2 linked regions of the Tamandua tetradactyla genome follow. The protein of the gene in region 1 interacts with the protein of each later gene in a pairwise test. Links are inferred from orthologs where the notes say so. Each region holds a gene or a part of one and is shown on either strand. Other genes may lie near its edges.

Region 1 (10,068 bases):
GCCCAAAATAAGGAAACAATAAAACCCAACGCTAATAAAAATGTAAAGGACATATTTCAGTTCAAAGGCAGTATTAATTACTGCCACCTTTTTGAGCCCTCATTATATTTGAGGGAAAGTGCTAAGTACTTCCATGAGTTATCTCTTTTAATCCCCTCTGCAACACTAAGAAATATACTATAATCACCTCTCATTTTACACCAAGGGTTAGGCATTTAATATGAACCTTTAAAAGCTTGACAATCATAGTATATAGTCCTGCACTGTTCCTAACATCGAGGCTGCTCAGAATGGCAAATAAACATACCTGATATTTTCCTGCAGACCTTGCCATTGTTAAAGCTTTGCCCATCAGATGTGACGTGTCACCCAACTCAAATAAACATGTCACTTAATGATAAGCTAATAATGGTGAAACACCAAAACAGAGGCCAACAGCATGCTGACCCACCAGCATGTATCCACCCTGAGAGGAACAGGAGAAATTCCAGGAAGCAACCCATGAGGAAACTTACAATCACAGAATTTTAGATCTGAAAGGATCTTGAGGTTATACAGTGCCAAATACCCTAATTTGGTAGAAGTGGAAACTGAGACCCTAGGAGGCAACGTGACTTAGTCTAGGCTCCCCAAGGGCTAGGAGTGAGCTATAAACTAACTCCAGGCTCGTGCCCCACCCTCCACCACACCAGTCACTACCTGGCAAGTGGGAGTTCAAAATTCAGCTTAGACACTCGTTTACATCTCTTTGGCTGACCTGCAGGTCCACCTTCTCTCTTACCCAACTAGTTCTCCAAAACTGCAAAGAGAAATGGCCACCTTTAGGAAGCCTAAAGGCAGGAAGAAGCCTCAGGCCAAATGACCAGCGCAAAACAGTTTTCTTTTTGGTCTGTGCTTGCTTATCACACAACTGTCCCAGTTAACTTTACAGGGAGCAGATAAGGCAGGCCTTGCAGGGGAAACATCACCACCACCCAGATGGCCCCTGGCTCCTGGGGAAAGGAACACAGATATAGTGAAATGAGCAGCCTGAGAAGCTAAACCGACTGGGCACAAGTCTGTGTTCACCACTTAAAACCTGGGCACATAATTTACTCTTTCTGAGCCTCCACTGCCTTTACCTGTAAGATAAGAACAATGCCTTCCGATATAACTTTTACAACATGACTGCATGATTGTGAAAACCTTGTGTCTGTTGCTCCTTTTATGAGTAAAAAAAATGGATAAAATATAACCAAATAATAGAGGGGACAAAGGGTAAAATAAAGTGGGTAGACAAAGATACTAGTAGTCAATGAGGGGGCAGGGTAAGGGTTACGATATGTATGAGTTTTTTCTTTTTACTTCTTTTTCTGGAGTGATGTAAATGTTCTAAAAAATGATCATGGTGATGAATACACAACTATGTGATGATATTGCGAGCCACTGATTATACACCATGTATGGAATGTTCGTGTGTGAAGATTTATCAATAAGAATATTTTAAAAAGAACAATACTTTCACCTCCCAGGGTTGCTGGAAGTGTTCAGATGGGGTAACATTTAAGTACAAGCCTGGACCCGCAAGGGCATGTCCTAACTGGATTTCATTCATTAAAATTAAATAAAATTTAAAATTCAGTTCTTAGTAACACTAGTCAGGTTCTCAGTGTTCAAAGTCCCTGTGGTGGGGTGGTGAGGCAGTCACAAAACATGTTCAGCATCACAGAAAGCTGTACTGCACAGCGCTACGCTAGAGTCTCTTCTCCCTCACCCAAACAGAAATCCTGTAGATTTTCCTTCCAAATGTCTTCTGATCCACACTCTCTGCCACTGCCTTAAAGCCCTCACAGCTTCTTGTCTGGCCTCCTAAAACCCACTGCCTTCAGTTTCAGCCCCTCTAATCCCACACGGTCTCCAGAGTGATATTTCTAATGCAGCACATCTAAACTTGTCTCTCCTCAGCTTCAGCAGCTTTCCCTTTCCTGCAGGATACTGGCATCCAGCATCCAAACCCTTCCTGATCAGGTCACATCACTGGGAACCAGCCTCTGTTCACCGCACCCAGCTGTGCTGCATGTGCATCTCCTGTGGGATGTCTGGCTCCCTGTGACACAGACACTCAGCTGATAAGGCACAAAGGCTCTGAGCCCCGAGGTGAGAAATACAAAGACCTCGCCTAAAAGGAAGTACAAAGTACCTACGTCAATTTCCAGGCAGGAAACTGTAGGCTCAGACAGGAATGAGCACGTCTTTTGGGTCTGGACTGTAAGCTTAGCTATGCTTGTGGAAGTCATGGTCCCCACTGCCACCACCTGGGCCAGGTTCCCTACACTATTCACATGTGGCCCTGCTTCCCCCAAATAGTGAGAGCACTTCTTCAAACACACACACCACTCCTACTCATAGTTATACCTTTTAATGGCCTCCCACTCCCTTCTTCAAATCAATCCTCTACGTGGCTTCAGAAGCTCATATAATTCGGTTCCATCTGGTGGGTCCAGCCTCTGTGCTGGGCACACCCCTTTCGGATCCAACACTCGGCCCAATTTCCCAGATTCTCCCATTCTAGTCTACTCATTTCCTCGCTCCTTTCCACTGACCCACCATCTTCTTTCAGTCTCAGCTGGGATCTTCAGTGACTTGGGGCATAGGAGTAAAAGTGGTAACTCTAGAAAGCACCAACGGCACGGGGTGGGGGTGGGGGCTTCAGGAAACAATTCCCTCTCATACCAGCCTTAGAAAGTTGGGTTTGATCTTCATCAGGGAAACAACACATCTCCAGCCATCCCCCAGGATTTCTCTATGCTCCAGCCACATTTTTCCCAATTCCAAAACCTGATGGGCTTTGGCATGCCTCTCTGCCTTTGCCTGAGGTGGCCCTGGCAAACTTGTCCTCAAGCTCTACCTCCAATAGTCAGTTTTCCTGTTACCTATTATCTCTTTCCCTCCTAGAAAGCCTTCCTAACACGACCCCTTCCTGAGAATCCCACCCCCCACCCTGCTGGCTTTAATGCCACTATATTGTTATTGCCTTACAAACCACCTCTTGTCCAACCTACTCGCCCCACTCCCCTCCAACTAAGCCCAGAGAGCAGGGACTATGCCATCTCCATCTTCAGTGCTAATTCCTGGAGCCAACTGGTGTTCAGAAAAACGTTGGCTCTAAGAACGACAACCTCAAGACCTGCATGGACACAACCTGAAAGCATCCTGGTTTGCCCTGACCCCTTCAGCAACTTGGTTCTGCCTCCCACTACCACATCCAAATCTCCTGTCCTCTCCCTCTAGACTGCTCTCTGTCACCATATGAGTCTAACCAAAGAGCAGTAAAAGTTACACACTGTCCCTACTCTGGTTTCAATAGTATGGACACATGTAAATACACAGACACTGAAATCACAGCCAGTACCTGTTAGAAGAACGTGGACATCCGGGTGACCTGTTATATGCTTGCACTTCTTTTATATTATCGCTAAGGATTCACAAACCCAGGGAACTCCCTGGACACCGCACAGGTCCAGCGACCTCAAGTGTGAGAACCCTTGCCCTAGAGTTGGGCGCGGAGGGGAAGCCAAGGCAGACTGCTAAGCCTCAGGGTCGGTGGTCGACAGCTGCGGGCCAACAAGTCCAAAGGTTGGTGAAGGCGCTCCAGGGACTTCCCAGGGGCAAGGAGAGAAGGGGCCGGGGTCCTCCTCCGGGAAGGGGGTGGAGTCTCCGGGGCCAGGGTCCCTGCAGGGTGGGGGTCAGGAAGGGGGTCTGCGGGTAGGGCATCCTGGGGGGAGGAAGTAGTCCCATGGAAAAGGGGATTATGAGGGCTCGGGACCGGGTGGGGTAAAATCTTCAGCGGTCTCAGGGCTCGGGGGTCCTCAGTGAATCTTGTCGGGGTCTCGGGGCCCTGAGGCGGCTGGACGTCCTCAGGGAGTCTACGAGTCTAGGGACAATCGTGGAGGGTTTCGGGGTCCGAGGGTCCTGAAGGCTGTCAGGACTCCAAAGCGGTGGGGACCCAAGAAGGGTCTTGGGAGAGGAAGGGTCCTGAGGGCTCTCGGCCAGGAACCCCGGCCTCCCCCGACCCGGGCCCCTTACCTGCGGCGAATCCAAGTCGCTGGTCTCTGCTCGCACGCCCGCCTCCCCTCCTCGGCGGCTGACGACGTCTGCGCGCGCACCAGCGGCGAGAGCGGGAGGCGCAGCCCGAGCCCGACTGGTACCGCGTTCAGCCTCGCCTCCACGTTTGCCCGCCGCGGCGCCGCCGCAAAGCCTTCCTCCGGGGGCTCTCGGTCGCCGCGCGAAAGTTCCGCCTGGAAACCAACGGCTTATCGTGGTCCCGGGCCCCTCGCCCCGCCTCTCTGAGGAGGGGGCGGGGCCTGAGGCCACCTGCGCTCGTTCCTGCGTCTCTCTTTTGCATGTGCAAAAGGCGGGGGGGGGGCGGGCGCGCTCTGCCGGGCCCTGCTCAGCGTTGAGCAGGATCGAGGGCCCTGGCAGCTGCGGCCCGCAGATCACGCAGGCTCCGGCGGGCCACGGGTCCCTGCTTGCCGAAGCCGCCGGTAGCTCAGTGGCCATTGTCGCTATCCGGAATTCCGTCCCTTGATCACTGTCACTTCCCACTGGAACGGAGGCTCCTTGAGGCCCGAACATTGTCTGCGTTGTTCACCCCTGGACCCCCAGAGCTGGCACAGCCCTGGGCACACGATCGATGCCCAAATGCTTGGGCATGAGTAATCTTTCTTGTGCTATTCTTTCATCAAGAAATACGTTTTCAACCCACAGAACAGGAGAAAATACTTGGGAACCATATATCTGATAAGGGCTTAATATCCAGAGTATATAAAGAACTCCTACAACTCAACAACAAAAATACAAACAATTCAGTTTAACAATGGGAATAGAACTTAAGTAGACATTTCTGCACAGAAGACATACAAATGGCTGTAAGCACAGGAAAAGATGCCCAATATCATCAGCCATTAGAGAAATGCAAATCAAAGCCAGAATGAGATACAACTTCGCACCCACTTCAATGGCTATTATTTTGAAAACAGAAAATAGCAAGCATTGGAGAGGATGTAGAAAAATAGAAATGCTTGTGCTCATGGACATGTAAAATCGTGGAAAACAATTTTGCACTTCCTCAGAAAGTTGAGTATAGAATTGCCATAGGATCCAGCAATCCCACTTCTAGTTGCATATCCAGAAAAATTGAAAGGAGGGACTTGAGCAGAAATTTTCCCACCAATCTTCACAGGGCATTATTCACAATTGTGAAAAGCTCAAAGAAACCCAAGTATCTATCAACCAATGAAAGCAAAAGCAAAATGTGGTATAGCCATACAATGGAATATTATTCAGGCATAAAAAAGGAATGGAATTCTGAAACATGTGGGTGGTAGTTAGATTCAGTTGTCAACTTGACCAGGTGAAGGCACCTAGTTCTGTTGCTGTGGACATGAGCCAATGGTACATGAACCTCATCTGTTGCTGATTGTATCTGCAGTTGGCTAGGAGGCGTGCCTGCTGCAATGAATGATGGTTTGACTTAATTGGCTGGTGCTTAAATGAGAGAGCACAATGTAGCACAGGCCAAGCAGTTCAGCATACCTCATCTCAGCACGCGCAGCTCAGCCCAGGCCTTTGGAGATGTGAAAGAAATTACCCCGGGAAAAGTTGTTGGAACTCAGAGGCCTGGAGAGAAGGCCAGCAGAGATCAGTTTGTGCCTTCCTGTATAACAAAGAACCTCAGTTGAAAGTTAGCTGCCTTTCCTCTGAAGAACTAATGAAATAAATCCCCTTTTATTAAAAGCCAATCTGTCTCTGGTGTGTTGCATTCCGGCAGCTAGCAAACTGGAACAATGTGACAACATGGATGAACATTGAAGACATTACATTGAGTGAAATAAAGCCAGATGCGAAAGGACAGATATTGTATTATCTCATTTATATGAAATAACTAAAATAGACAAATACATAAAGTTAGAAAGTAGATTACAGGTTATGAGGGGTGAGGGTTAATGCTTCATGGGTCCAGAATTTCTATTTGGGGTGATGGAAACATTTTGGTGATAGATGATCGTGAGGATAGCACAACATCATGAATGGAAATTAATGCCAACACATCGTATGCTGGTAGTTGGATTGTAAAATGAGAAAGGTTATGTTGTGTATATATATAAAACCTCAATAAAAAAGAAAAGGAAAGAAATACACTTCCCAGGAGGCTGAGCAGGACACTTGCTTGGGTCTGGAGCCTGGTCTACCACCTGAGGGCTGTGTCTTCTCATCCATCTGCACCCCAGTTTCTGCCTGTAAAACCATGGTGCTAGCAGTACCTGCCTCTCGGGGTGATTGAGAGGACTAAGTAAGGTCACACATGGGCAGGCTTGGCAGAGGAGCATGCACAGGATTAGTGTCCCCTGCTATTCTTATGACTCGTATGTCCCCCTATCCAAGTCCTTCTCTGCCACTGGAAGTCTTTCTCTTCTCTGAATAAGAACCGATGGGCTCAGAAGCTACTTCCCCTTCCCGTCCTTCCCAGATCCACACACCCACCCACACCCTGGCCAAGCCACATTTAATTCTTACTTCCTCTCTCTGTATATTTTTTCCTGTCTAGTGTTCAAGTTGGCTGTTAACATCCCCCGGCCCACAGAGAAAGCCTGAACTTGTCATCCACATGGGTCTTCTGAGTTTTAGCAGCTTGTGAAGTTTGGGGGCCCAGAGTCCATAACACCAAGTGGTGAGGCAGCTGTGGGTTTCTGTGCATGGCAGCGCCTGCCAAAGCGCTTTGCATGTGCTCCTTCATCTGCATCTTGGAACAAGCCTGTGAGGGCACCACCCTCGTTCTCATTCCAGTTGAACAGACAGGGATGCTGAAGCCCCTTGAGGTTGCCCAGGCATCTGCGCACCCCATCTCCCGCATGTGTCACCATCCTCTCTCCATTCAGCTCCTCCTCCATGGTCACAGGATGGAACACAGTGCAGGGCAGCTCATGAGCTACTTCCGGGTGCAGGGGACCAGGACCTGAGAGAGGTGGCATGGGCTTGAGAACCGGACTCTGGGCTGAGTGCTGGCGGAGGCCAGACCCTGGGTGTAGGCGGCCCTGGGGCAGACATCCTTGAAGTTCCTGGGGTGGTGGAATCCAAGAAATCTATGCACAGGGTAGGCTATGCCTGAAACCCTCCAGCCAAGTCGGCCCCATCCAAAACACAGCCTGCAGGTCTCAGCCCCTGCACCCCAAATCACTGCCTTGCAAAGACAAGGCCAGCAGGAGGGGATGCCTTAGGAACAAACTCCCCTAACCCTTCCCCTCCCCTGTACTCAAGAGAGATGTAGGTGCCCTGGGTCCTGGAAAAGGACTGAGTGGGGCACTGCTACCAAGCCACCTTGACCATCCCCAGAGTAGATAAGGGATGGGCAGGGCTAGTTGGCAAGGTGTCATGGGAAGCAGAGGCGCCTATCCCGCCCATCCAGGTAAGCATGTCTTATTCAGTGTGCAATGGGCAAAGGATTGACTGTATGCATGTGACATGGCAAGGCTTGGCACCTCAAATACAGGGCCCAGATGCGAGTCCTCTCTGTGTTGCAGGTGGCCGTGATGGCATCAATGGGGGCTGCCCTGAGAGATGTGCAAATGGAAGTCATATGTGTGCTTGTATGTGTATACTACTATTTTTTAATTTCAGATTTCTGACCTCCAGAACTGTGAGAGGATACATTTTTGTTGTTTTAAGCCCCCCTGTCTGTAGTAATTTGTTATAGCAGCCACAGAACACTAATAGAGTTGCTATTTTAGAAATGAGGAAACTGAGACTCCAAGAGGCCAGGGAATTTGCCTGCGGTCCCTTGGCCAGTAGGTAGGTCAGTCAGACCTGTCTGCCTCTTTAGCTTCAGAAAGCCTGCCTGCTTTGCCCAATGCAGAGTCTTCCAGGAAGTAGAGAGGGTGCTAATACTCTCTGGGGCAATTAGAAAGTGCCACCCCAGAAGCTGAGTCCAGACCCAGCAAATGGGTAGAATGATTATTCATTTGTTCACTTACTCTTGGGTCCCCAAGAAGGTTTGCTCATCTTCCTTAGATCAGTTTGGTCCCTTTAGCTTTTGTATCAGGAGCTGTGATTAAGGCCTCTTATAAGCTGGAAGCTCCAATCTCCTGGGACCTCCATGAATCATGCTGCTGGAAAGAGGGCTGGACTCTACTTCTTTCACCTATGACACCAAATGTGGGAAGCAGCTTGTATAGGAAGGGGGCTCAAGCCACCTGTAAGACCTGCTTTTCAAAGGGGGGGTGGGAAGTATCCAAGCCTACAGAATGAGCATGCATGTGATTTTCTGTAGTGTTCAGAAAGTTTGATTATCTTAATAACGTTTTGCAAGTTGGTTTCCTTCCTTTGTCTAAAGATTTGAATTTACTTGGGTTTGCATTAAAGGTCCCATTTTGCAGTTGGTTTGTCAGTAATTCCCCATTAAAGCAAAGCCTGGATCCCATATAGGGGATGTAATTCTACTTAAGGGTCTTTTAAAAGCTGGGCAGGAGTGCATGGGTATTTCGGCAGCAGAGCGCCCGCCCACCATGCGGGTGACCCGGGCATAAGTCCTGGTCCATGCACCCAAAAAGAAAAAAAAAACCTCAGCAATAGTAGTCCCTGAATCTAGAAGGAGACACCCCAAGATATACTGGGTATGAACTCAGATGTATGCCCACAGAAAAGAAAGAAAACAAATAAATAATGAAATAGAAATAAAAATAATTTTAAGAAATAAAATAAAATAAAAATTAAATAAAAAGACAAACCTAGGCAGATAGGGAGTTTGCCAGACTGCACTGACTACTTCTTCCTAGAAGATGGTGCTCTTGAGCCACGTCCTCCTCCTCCCCTCAGGCTCACCTGGAATGGCCAGCTGGGCAGGATGGCATGCACGGCAGGACAGCTGGTCCCAGCACTGGGGACAGGGCAGTTGATCACAACATCTGGCAGATCTGCCGCCTGTAGCTCCTGACAGGATGGCCACTCCTGTGGGTGGCTGGCATGCCCCTGGGCTCCCTACAGGTACAGCCAGCTTCAAGGTTACGCAGGGAGTTCTCCCCAGCCAGCTGCTGGCACAGGCTAGATTGGAGATTGGTATCCTATAGGGAGGGACAGTCTTTTTCCTTGGATCTGCACTTCCCCATGTGCTGCCACCTGCCCCTGGTGGGGTCACAAACTAACAGATTCGCCTTGTTCTCCCCATCCCGACCCCCTTTCCTCTCTCTACCAGGACCTCCCTATAGAATGCTGAAGACCCTCCTTGATCAGTCACCCCCTGGGTTGCAGTCCCTGTCGTCTTTTCCTTCCCTTCTCTTGTTTTCCCACGGAGCAGGAGTGAAATCAGCCTACCCTACTCTGCCATCTTCCTGCATCTTGCATGAGTTTTTAACAATGGCAGACCTTGCAGAGGTTGTGCCCTCTCTGCTTCCCTTGGGGATTGTGCTGGTTTGAAAGGATGTATGTCCCCTTGAAAAGCCATGTTTTAATCCTAATCCCATTTTGTAAAGGCAGCCATTTCTTCTAATCCCTATTCAGTATTGTATGTTTGAAACTGTAATCAGATCATCTCCCTGGAGATGAGATTTAATCAAGAGTGGTTGTTAAACTGGATTAGGTAGAGGCATGTCTCCACCCATTTGGGTGGATCTTGATTAGTTTCTGAAGTTCTATAAAAGAGGAAACATTTTGGAGAATGGGAGATTCAGAGAGAGCAAAGCAGAGCGACATAGCCACAAGAAGCAGAGTCCACCAGCCAGCAACCTTTGGAGATGAAGAAGGAAAATGCCTCCCAGGGAGCTTCATGAAGAAGCCATGAGAAGAAGCTAGCAGATGACACTGTGTTTGCCATGTGCCCTTCCAGATGAGAAAGGAACCCTGTCCGTGTTCACCATGTGCCCTTCCAGATGAGGAAGAAACTCTGACTGTGTTTGCCCTGTGCCCTTCCACTTGAGAGAGAAACCCTGAACTTCATTGGCCTTCTTGAACCAAGGTATCTTTCCCTGGATGCCTTAGTTGGACATTTCTATTGACTTGTTTTAATTGGGACATTTTCTCGGCCTTAGAACTGTAAAC
Region 2 (9,864 bases), on another chromosome or scaffold:
GCTCCTCAATCATCCTATTCAGGGAAGGAGGATAGTAGAGAAAGGGGCATGGTCTCCTCAAAAACTTCTGAAAGACTGCTATGTGCTCTTTATCCTTTCATGTGTAGCACTCGGTAATGCTGCATACAGAAATTTCGAAGTGGTTTGAGGATTTTGGAGCCCATGGCAAATCCTGGTAATCTACAGCCAAAGCTCTGCAAAAGGCTTTTTCCAGCACACTCTGATACTACCTATGAATCTAGAAGGCCCCACCTTCTGTGGTTTAGAAGACCAAATAACAATCATATTAATAATATGTTTCAAGCACCATGGTGCTAGGCACATTTTTTTTTCAATTCATCCTCCCCAAAATTCTATGAAATATTAACTCTGTTTTACAGATCTACCAACTATGGCAGAATTAGTATTAGTATTCAAAATCAAGTTTATACTGGGGTACATGGTGGTCCAGTGGTAGGATGCTCGTCTTCCATGCGGGAGACCTGGGTTCAAGTTCCAGACCATGCACCTAAAAAATAATAATAATAAAGTTTATACCACTCTAAATTCAAAAAGGAAGAAAGGACCAAGAATAATATATGAATCCTCACAACAGTTAATTTCAACAGATGGAGAAACCAAAGTGAAAAGAAGTTAATTTTTCAACCATCAAATTACAAAATATCTTTCTATATGTAACAAGCCTAGAAATAAGCTGCAGCTGGCATTGGTCCAGTACCCACAATGTCAGGACTAGCATCTCTGTGATTCTCTTAATTGCAAGATGGTGGACACTATTCTAGAGTGTTCTAAGCAGAAAGGGAGAAAGGAGTGGTATTTGTTCCCTTGGTGAGGAATGCCGGAGCTTTCCCAGGAGCCTCCTAGAAGACTTCTACTTTTGTCTCATTGACTACAGCCCTATCAAATGGCATACCTGGCTGCAAGGGAGGCTGGAAAAGCATATTTAGATATTTCAGCATCAATAGTAGCAAGAGTAAAAGATCGGGAACAGTTGTTGGATTAGCCAACAAATGGTCTCTGCCATAAGGAGTGGCAAAATAAATTAAGATTACTGAATAATGGAACATTACATGGCACCAAAAAGAAAGAAGGAAATTAATTGTAAAATAAGAAAATCAGAGTGCAAAACATATGTTATATGCATTTTGTTTATGAAAGGGGGAATCGGGGTAGGAGGGTGTATTAGGGTTATCTAGGGAAACAGAACCAACAGGAGATATCTGTAAATATGAGATTTTATAAAAGGGTCTCATGCAACCGTGGGGATACACAAGTCCAAATTATGACTGCAGGCTGCAAGCTGGCAGCTCTGATGAAGGTCTTTGATGAATTCCCCAGGAGAGGCTGGTTCATTGAAGTGCAGTGAGAGATTCTCTCTTCTGACTTCTCCTTTTAAAGCCTTCATCTGATTCAATTAAATCTCTCTCATTGCTGAAGATACTCTCGTTAATTTAGATGTAATCAGTCATAGATGCAATCAACTTACTGATGATTTTTTTTTTTTTTCGCATGAGCAGGCACCGGGAATCGAACCCGGGTCTCCAGCATGGCAGGTGAGGATTCTGCCTGCTGAGCCACCATGGCCCACCCCTTACTGATGATTTAAGTCCACAAAATGTCCTTGCAGTAATGCTTAGGCCAGTGCTTCACCAGACAACTGGGCACCATTATCTGGCCAAGTTGAAACATAAACCACCACAGAGGGAGACCTATTTTTCAGTGTATACCCTTTTGTGCTATTTGAAAATTTTTAAACACAACATGTACATTGGAATTTTGCCTCTGATCCTGTACCTGTCCAAAATAACCTCTAGTAGAAATTGCTATAGTATATCTTTAGTCTATTTTTATTATAAATAAATGGATTTTATGTGTATAATTATATAGGACTACAATCCTGTGCATTTTCCTCTCCCCTTTGATAGGCCTTCATTTGCCACCTATAATGGGTTTCCATGATGCTGCTGCTTTATTAAATTGTTTTCTCCCTGCTTAACTCCCCATTGCCCATTTTCTGAGCCACCCACTCTTCCTTTGCCTTGATTGGCTTGCCTTGTCACTGTTGCTTTTGGCTTTGTGAAGGATTTACTCTCCCTAACCCCCTGACCCCCACAGGGATGTCGTTATCCCCAGCCTCAGTGCACAACTGTCCCCCAGTGTTGCCAAAGTTCTCAGCCGTGCCTTCTGAGACCTGAGGTTACCAGCCCTATAGCACCCTCTTTCCTCCCTTCTTTCTCCCTTCCTCCCACCCAAACAAAATCTCTCCATGTGGAGTAAAATGATGATCACCTTCCCACACCTACATGTTTCCTACAGGAGAACAGATGTAGAATGGGTAGTCTGCCACCTATTTAGAGAGTGTAGGGAAAAAGAATTTTTGGCTTTAGGAAATGGCAAATGGTGGGGACGGCGCAGTGGATTAACAGGTGAGCATTTTTGCCAGTAGGGGAAGACTGCCTGCCAAGTTGCCAGCAGGGGCTCTAGCAATTAGAACTCTTTTGTAGAAGAGTTGTAATATTCTTTAATGTCTACCATGTGCCAACCAATGCACAAGGCAGTTTGCATAAATTATCATATTTATTCCTCCCAATGATGCTACAAAGTAGGTCTCTTTGGAGGAACCATATGTCCTGATTTACCTGGAGCAGTCATAGTTATATGCCCATGGTCCTGGCATAATTATTAATGACATCCTTTTTCAGTCTCAAAAAAAAAAAAAGGTTTACATAAAAAATTGTAAGTCACCTTAACTATCCCCTTTAATAAGGGAGCATATTGAGACTTAAAGGGTTGAAGTAACACACCTGGTAAATGATAAGGGTAAGATTCAAACTAGCCCCTGGCCTAGACTTGTTCCTTTGATTTTGTGTTCCTTGAATTTAGGAACCATTATCCTCTTCCCTAAACCAAAGTTAGTAGCTTTTTGTTAATCCCTCCGTCTATCTGGGTCTAATCAGGAGAGAAAAACCACATGGTAATTTGCACAAGGAAAATTTAAAGAATTATTATAACAAGATGCCATGGTAATGAGGGATTGGCTAATAAGAAGTAAAGAGAGCTCTAAAGAATACAGGAATAGCAGATATAAGGAGCAGCCACTAACCAGAGGGCTGAAAGAGAACACCCGATGAGCGCCTCCCTTCCTGCCCCACCCTCAGCCTGAGATGAACACCTTGTTCGAGATGGCATAGCTGTGGCCCACACCCTGGGGCCGCACTGGTGGAACTGGCTAGAAATCCATTCTCTAAAGTGCTGAAGAAAACTGTTTACACAGAGCTGTTTACTGGAGAAACTCTGCTCAAAACCACTTCTACCAGGGTTTGAGGTGGGGTAAGTGGGGCACTGCTAGCCAGGTGTTGCTGGTCCCTAGGCTAAAAGCAGGGGCCTGGTCCCGAAGAAGCCATCCACAGGAGCTGGGAGAGCCACACATACTGCAGGACCCTGGTGAATCAGCCCAGCGGAAACAGGAAGGAAAACTTTTTCTTCAGTCAGTGTCTCTCCAGAACCTTCAACCGAAAAAGTTAAACATCTCACCAGCTGTAAAGGACAAAATAAATTTAAAGGGCCCAGATCCATTTTCACAGTGCAGGCAAAAAGGATGAATCTGGAGCTGAGCAGCAATAAATTAATAACCAGCACACTCCCTCAAAAAACTTCCCTGTGTTATACTATAATTTTCCTCTAGTAGGGGCTTTCGAAACAAGAGGAAGGAGGACTAAAAGTGTTCCTCAAAATGAGGCAGGAAGAAAGGTAACAAAATAAGGTGTCAGTGGCTAAGAGAGTTCAAATGGAGTGGAGAGGCTATTCTGGAGGCTACCCTTACACAAACTTAAGCTAGATATTGCTAATTGCCAGGGTTTGCCAAATCCTAATTAACATTACTCTCATTAACCCTAAAGAGCACCCAGGCTGTATCTTAGATTCTACAAAAGTTTCACACACCAAGTTTACTTCTCAGAAACCTAAAACTTCAGATGGTTCCCAGGCCAGATAAGTCCTGAAACCCCCAGTCTCTGCAAAATCATCAACCAGTTCTGTCCCCGTATCCTGTATGATTGACGCCGCTTTTCAATGTGAAAAAATTAGAATGGGTATAGCCCAAATATCCCTAAGGACTGGGAGAAGGATCAAAGGAGAAGGAGTTATAAAAGAAACGTTAGGATTTAACTAATGAGTATGACTATTGAATCATTATATTGATATTGCCATTTAGTCTCCAGTGTCTTGGAGCAGCTAGAAGGAAAAACCTGAAATTGTGGAACTGTAACCCATACCCAACGTTGAATTCTGTTCTATAACTACTTGTTAAAATGTAATTTAAAATGTATTCTTTTTTTTGTATCTATGTTACATCTCATAGTAAAAAATGTTTTAAAAAGCTCTTATCAAAAAAAGTTAAAAAGCCCTTATCAGATATATGTTTTCCAAATATTACCCCCATTCTGTAGGTTGTCTTTTTTACTTTCTAATTTATTAAAAGTAATGTCTCTTTTATAACTCCTTCTCCTTTGATCCTTCTCCCAATCCTTAGTGATATTTGGGCTATGCCCATTCTAATTTTTTCACATTGAAAAGTCCTTTGATGCACACACACACACACACACACACACACACAAAAGGCAGCTGTGTATCTGGGGAGAGGCCTAGAAATCTGAATATTTATCAGGCTTTCTAAGCCATTCTTGATGAAAGACCTTTGAGAAACTATTTAGACAGAGCACCCCCACCCCTGGGAGGGTCCTTGGATATTTCCAAGGAGAGAGTCACCTTGGTTCTCTGTGTATTGGGTATGTGTGTGTGAAGTTTCAGGTTTTCACATGTCTGTTTCTCTGTAAGTTTCCTAGAGCATGTCTGCCTCTATGTCTCCACACATAGCTGTGGATCTCTTTAGTCTTGTCAAATAGTTTATCTGTGTGAGCCTACCTCTCAGGCTTAATATCTCTGTCTCTCAAATCTGCTCACTTTTGCCTTCCAGTTTTTAATTCATGCTGTTCCCTGGGCCCAAAACACTGTTCCCCATACCTCCCTTTCCCCTAATGAGCTCATCTTCCTCATCAGGTGAATTTGATTCTTCCTCTTTAACTCAGATATTACATCCTCCAGAAGCCTCCGCCTCTCCCTTCCCGCACTCCAGTCTGAATTAGGAACCTTTTGTCTAAACTCCCATGACAACCCTTCATAGCTCCTTTATGGCTGCATTATTCATTGCTTCTTTCGCTCCCTTCGAAGGTACGTCGTTTTCCACTACAGCACCTTGGGATGCCTAACACAGTGCTAGCCCACGGTTAGTACTCCATAAATATTGACTGAGTAAATGAGATTGTGTATCACGAAAAAATGAGACCGTGTATTGTGCATGTATTTACGAGGGATGGAATCTGTTCTGTTGACTATTGGTGCCCTTGTATTCCCAGTCCCTACTACAAGGCCTGACATGGAGCAGGCGTTCTAAAAATGGCCAAGCGCCAATGGGGATTCACTTGGCGGGAATCTACCGGTAGTGGTCCGGTATCTGCCCACCGACTAGGAGGTGCCAGCGCAGCGGCGGAAAGGGCGGGGCCTGGCGGCGGTTCGACCCCGGAGAGGGCGGGGCTTGGCCGAGTGGCCCGTCTCCTCCCGGCGCGCTCACCCGGAAGCGCTGCCCCAGCGAACTTGCCTAGCGTCCGGGAGGCTGCACCGCCAACCCCTTCACCCCTGCTCCCGCCATCCATTATGCCGGTAAGTGGCCGCGTCGTCCCGGCCCTGCCCAAACCTGGGGCCCCTGGGTCGCGCCTTGGCTGCACTGCTGCTTGACCAGGGGTTGCTACCCCCCCCCCCCCAGCTTCTAGGACCCTCCAGAAAATCGGAACCGAGAGGAAGTGATTCAAGGAGCCAGGCTTCAGAATGCTGGAGTTACAACGCCTCCAACGATCACGAGCCCAAACCCTCCTTGCATGTACTGGGAAACTAAGATCCAAAAAGGAGGCAGACATCCGAGGTTACACAGAGAATTGGTGGCAAGCTGGAATGGGAAACCTTAGTTCTGCACCTTCCTCCTGGATGCCCCTTTCCCGGGAGCTGACCTTAAAGAAGAATGTGGGGTGGTTATGAGCAAGTTATGAGCCCGACTCTTGCCACCCTGACTGGGCAGGTTTTCAGAGATCCATATTTTTCTTCACTTCCCTGCCCACTCTGGCAGATTTTCAGGTCGGTGTTGGACGAACTTGAATGGCGCCAGTACTTTTGACCTTTTTCAACTGGTCAGTTTCTGAACCTGAATCCATGAGCTCCAGAGAGGTTCAGAGTCCTGCTCAAAGTCATCAGTTACTCAGTGACAGAGTTTGGGGAGGAATGAGCAGGTCTTAGCCTGCCTTTGCAGCTCACTCAGCCTTATTGCACATACATCTTTGGTCATGGCCTCATTTTGTAGATAACAAATTAAAGTCTTTTGCAGATAAAAAAAATTAAAAGCCCAGTAATTTATTCAAAATTGTGTTGAGAGATGGGTGGAACCAAAATTAAGCCCCTTATCCTCCAGCTTCCAGTCCTTCCTGGCCTAATCACACAGGGAAGCAACCTGCAAAAGCAGTCACACCTGCTTGGGAGAAAGCTCCAATTCCAGTTGCCTCTCTGAGATCCTGGTTGGGGTCAGGTGGTGTTTAGCATTTTCCCTCCACGGTGTCTAGTTCCTGGCTCTACTCCAAGTGAGTGCCCAGAAGTGTTCCCAGACACCCTGTGTCTTAGCAGCCTGTCATTGGGGAGCTGACAGGTGAGCCACCGCCCCCCTGGGCAGAGCCACAAACATCTCAGTTGTCAGTTCCCTTGGGTCTTGCCAGGTTCCTTGAGACAAATCCTCAGACATCACAAGCTATAGACAAAGAGCCTGACAGAATCTGCCCTCCCAGCTTAGCAAATCCACTGTGGCAATGTTAGAAAACAGCATTAATCACCCTGGGACCAGATTGTAGAGGCCACTAGGGTTTTTGTGGAGAATGGTAGTGAGGGAAAGGCCAGCCTGAGGATCACAATACTCTTTGCCCATTTCTGGGGATTTTGACAAACCAGAGACTCTGGAGAGGATAATGGGGATGGGGAAGGCATTAACACCGAAGACATCTCAAGAAGGCATTCTTGAGATGAATGGCTGAAGGAGAAAGGATAGTAGTCCAGAGACTGCCTTCAAAATCAGAAGGGGAAGAGTATCTCACCTCAGATTTCTCAGACAAGCACTTACACAGGCTGTGGGATCCCAGAAACTTCTGTGAACATTTGTGCCCACACCTGCCAGCTGGGTGACCTCAGCAAGTTGCTTTACTTCTCTGTGCCTTGGTTTACTCATCTGTAAAATGGGGATAAAAGTCTGACCTTGGGTGGTGCACCAGTGGCTCAGTGGCAGAATTCTCACCTGCTGTGGCAGAGACCTAGGTTCAATTCCCAGAGCTTGCCCATGCCCCGCCCCCCCCCCCAAAAAATCTGACCTCACGAGACTATTGTTAATATTAACTGGAAGAACAATAGTCAAATGTATAGCATAGCCACTGACATAGCCGGTCCCAAGAAATGGTAGTTCTAGGGTAGACCTAGGGCAGAAGAGAGGGGTGGAACTATAGGCATGCAGATTTGAACACAATATTAACAAGGACTGCAGTGGTTCAGGATTAGGCTTTGGAGAGTGTCTGCATCCAGTCCCATGTCATGCCACTCTCTAGCTATATGACCCAAGTGAGTGACCTCACCTCAAGCTCAGTTCCCCCATCTGTAAAGAAGGGATAATAATATCGCCCTTTGTGAAGATTAAATAAGATAATGCCTATAAGTGCTTAGAAATGCCTGGCACATAGCAAGAATTCAAATATATTAGTACTAATAAACTCCCAGTAACCGGGGTGGGTATCAAGGACTGAATATCCCAGATATTTAAGAATGCCTTCACTAGAAGGAGGCTGGCCAAAGTGACCCTGCTCTATCCCTGCCCTTCCAGTGTTGAAATTCTGTTAAAAGAATTGTACGGCTTACTGGACTTTTTCATCTACTTTTTTTTTTTTTAACTCTTTTCATTGTATAATATATATACAAAGCAAAGAAAAAAGCAATAATTTTCAAGCACGCTTCAACATGTAGTTATAGAACAGATCCCATAGTTTGTCATGAGCTACCATTCCATCATCTCAGATTTCTACTTTTATGATTGTATGTCAAAATTTACAATCAGATTTCTACTTTTAAGAACTCATTGTTTAGGTGAGAAGCTCAGACCCAGAGGGGCCAGAACTGACCAAAATCAAGCATCCAATGATGGAGGAGGTCTGAGGAATTTCCTGTAAAGAATGGATTATCACTTTGTCCATTAAGCAGATCCTCCACCACCCCCAGATTTGTTTTTGCAACTCAGAGGTGGGGGAGGAGGGTACTGAACTATGTTTGCTTCCAGCAGCCACCTCCTGGCTTCTGACCTCTGCTGTGGAGGATGAAATGACACCCATTGCTTATAGTCAACAGCAGAAAGCTTCAGTTAGCTATTAACTTCAGGATCTTGGGCAGCAAAAAAAAAATGTGTTTTCTATATCCTGGAGAAAGTATTCCCACTCTCAGCTCCTGCTAAGAGTCAGGGTTGTGGGGGGCAGCAGGTGGTGGTGCAGTTTACTGATCCAAAGTCAGCAAGATTTCCCTGAATCGAGGAAGGCCTAGATTCACATCACATCCTCAATACTTAACATATGACTGTGGGCAGCTTAGTTAGCCTCTGGGAACCTCATTTTCCTCCTAGGTAAAATAGCTCCCACTCCAAGCTGAGTGAGGACTAACTTAGTTACTGTATAAAGAGCATTTGGCATATAGTAGGCATTCTATAAATTTAGATTTTATTTTGATCTTGCAAATACTTAAAGCTTTGAAAGATATATAAGTACAAACTACAGATGAAGTTTTTTTAAATAGAAATTGAACACCTACTATACCCTATGGGTGGCCAGTTTTATCTGTCTGGTTTCTAGCAAAAACACCACATTCCTTGGGTTAGAGAGGTCACATTGTAATTCCAGTCTCTGGGGCTCTCAACGCACAGCCCAGAGCCATTCCAAAAAGGAGATCTGTCTGATTGGGTATCTGAAGTTTTCTGTCATGGCCAGGTGTACAAGTGTAAGGAGGATGTTATTAGAGGACTACCTGTCTTGGGACGCTGAGGGGGATAGGCACAGACCCAACAGTGACTCTGATTGTTTCCATTTGTTGTGTGGTATACCAGATGGACAGAAATTGTCCATAGGGCAGAAATAGGAGAAAGAGGAAATAAAAGAAAATCATGGTGAAGGGTGGGGATTATTGGGGATGGAGATTGGACATTGTAAGGCATATAGGATGAATAAGAGACAGTATAGACAGATGGTGAAAAGGAAGAGACAGAATAAAATAAGGAAATTCAGGCATGTCTTGATTTGTGATATTGAGTATCATCTCCTTGTTCTGACCTTTTGGGCCAAAGCTCTGTACATCAGATGCCATCTGCTTGTGGAATCCTCATGTTAGTTTTAACTTGAGATCTGAAATGGGAGTGGCTTCTCAAGGGCATGATGCATGTTTAAGTTGAGTCCTGTGGACCCTGGGGTAAATTCTCTGTAGTTTAACTGCCATAGTTGTGGTCAGTAAGACTTGATAAGGTGCTTTCAATCTAGGTTCTAAAGCAGTCTTTTGTTGATGTCTCTTCTAGAATATCAGTTCTCTGGCTGACAGTTATTTAGTGTTCACTATAAAACAATCTCAGGAAAGGCAACCTAGATCTTACTTCTCATTTAAAGTCCCTTTATTTAATTTTATTTTTGCTGAAAATGAAGCTCTGACCTGTAGCTAGTTGCAAGCACTTACATACTTAAGTTCCCAAAATAATCT

What was found.
Region 2: the proteins of FAM118A (region 1) and ATOX1 interact in binary tests that used the Homo sapiens proteins (3 or more experiments, as listed by UniProt). The two-hybrid records come from large-scale screens. The link is inferred for Tamandua tetradactyla from reciprocal best matches to the Homo sapiens genes FAM118A and ATOX1.

What each region holds. Positions count from the first base shown.
Region 1 is NC_135333.1:39,588,268-39,598,335, reverse strand, and holds the start of FAM118A (protein FAM118A), read right to left. Parts: upstream 4,256-10,068; 5' UTR 4,066-4,255; intron 3,594-4,065; exon of another isoform or gene 3,392-3,593; intron 1-3,391.
Region 2 is NC_135346.1:32,593,014-32,602,877, reverse strand, and holds the start of ATOX1 (copper transport protein ATOX1), read left to right. Parts: upstream 1-5,552; 5' UTR 5,553-5,712; coding exon 5,713-5,718; intron 5,719-9,864. UniProt on the Homo sapiens protein: Binds and deliver cytosolic copper to the copper ATPase proteins. May be important in cellular antioxidant defense.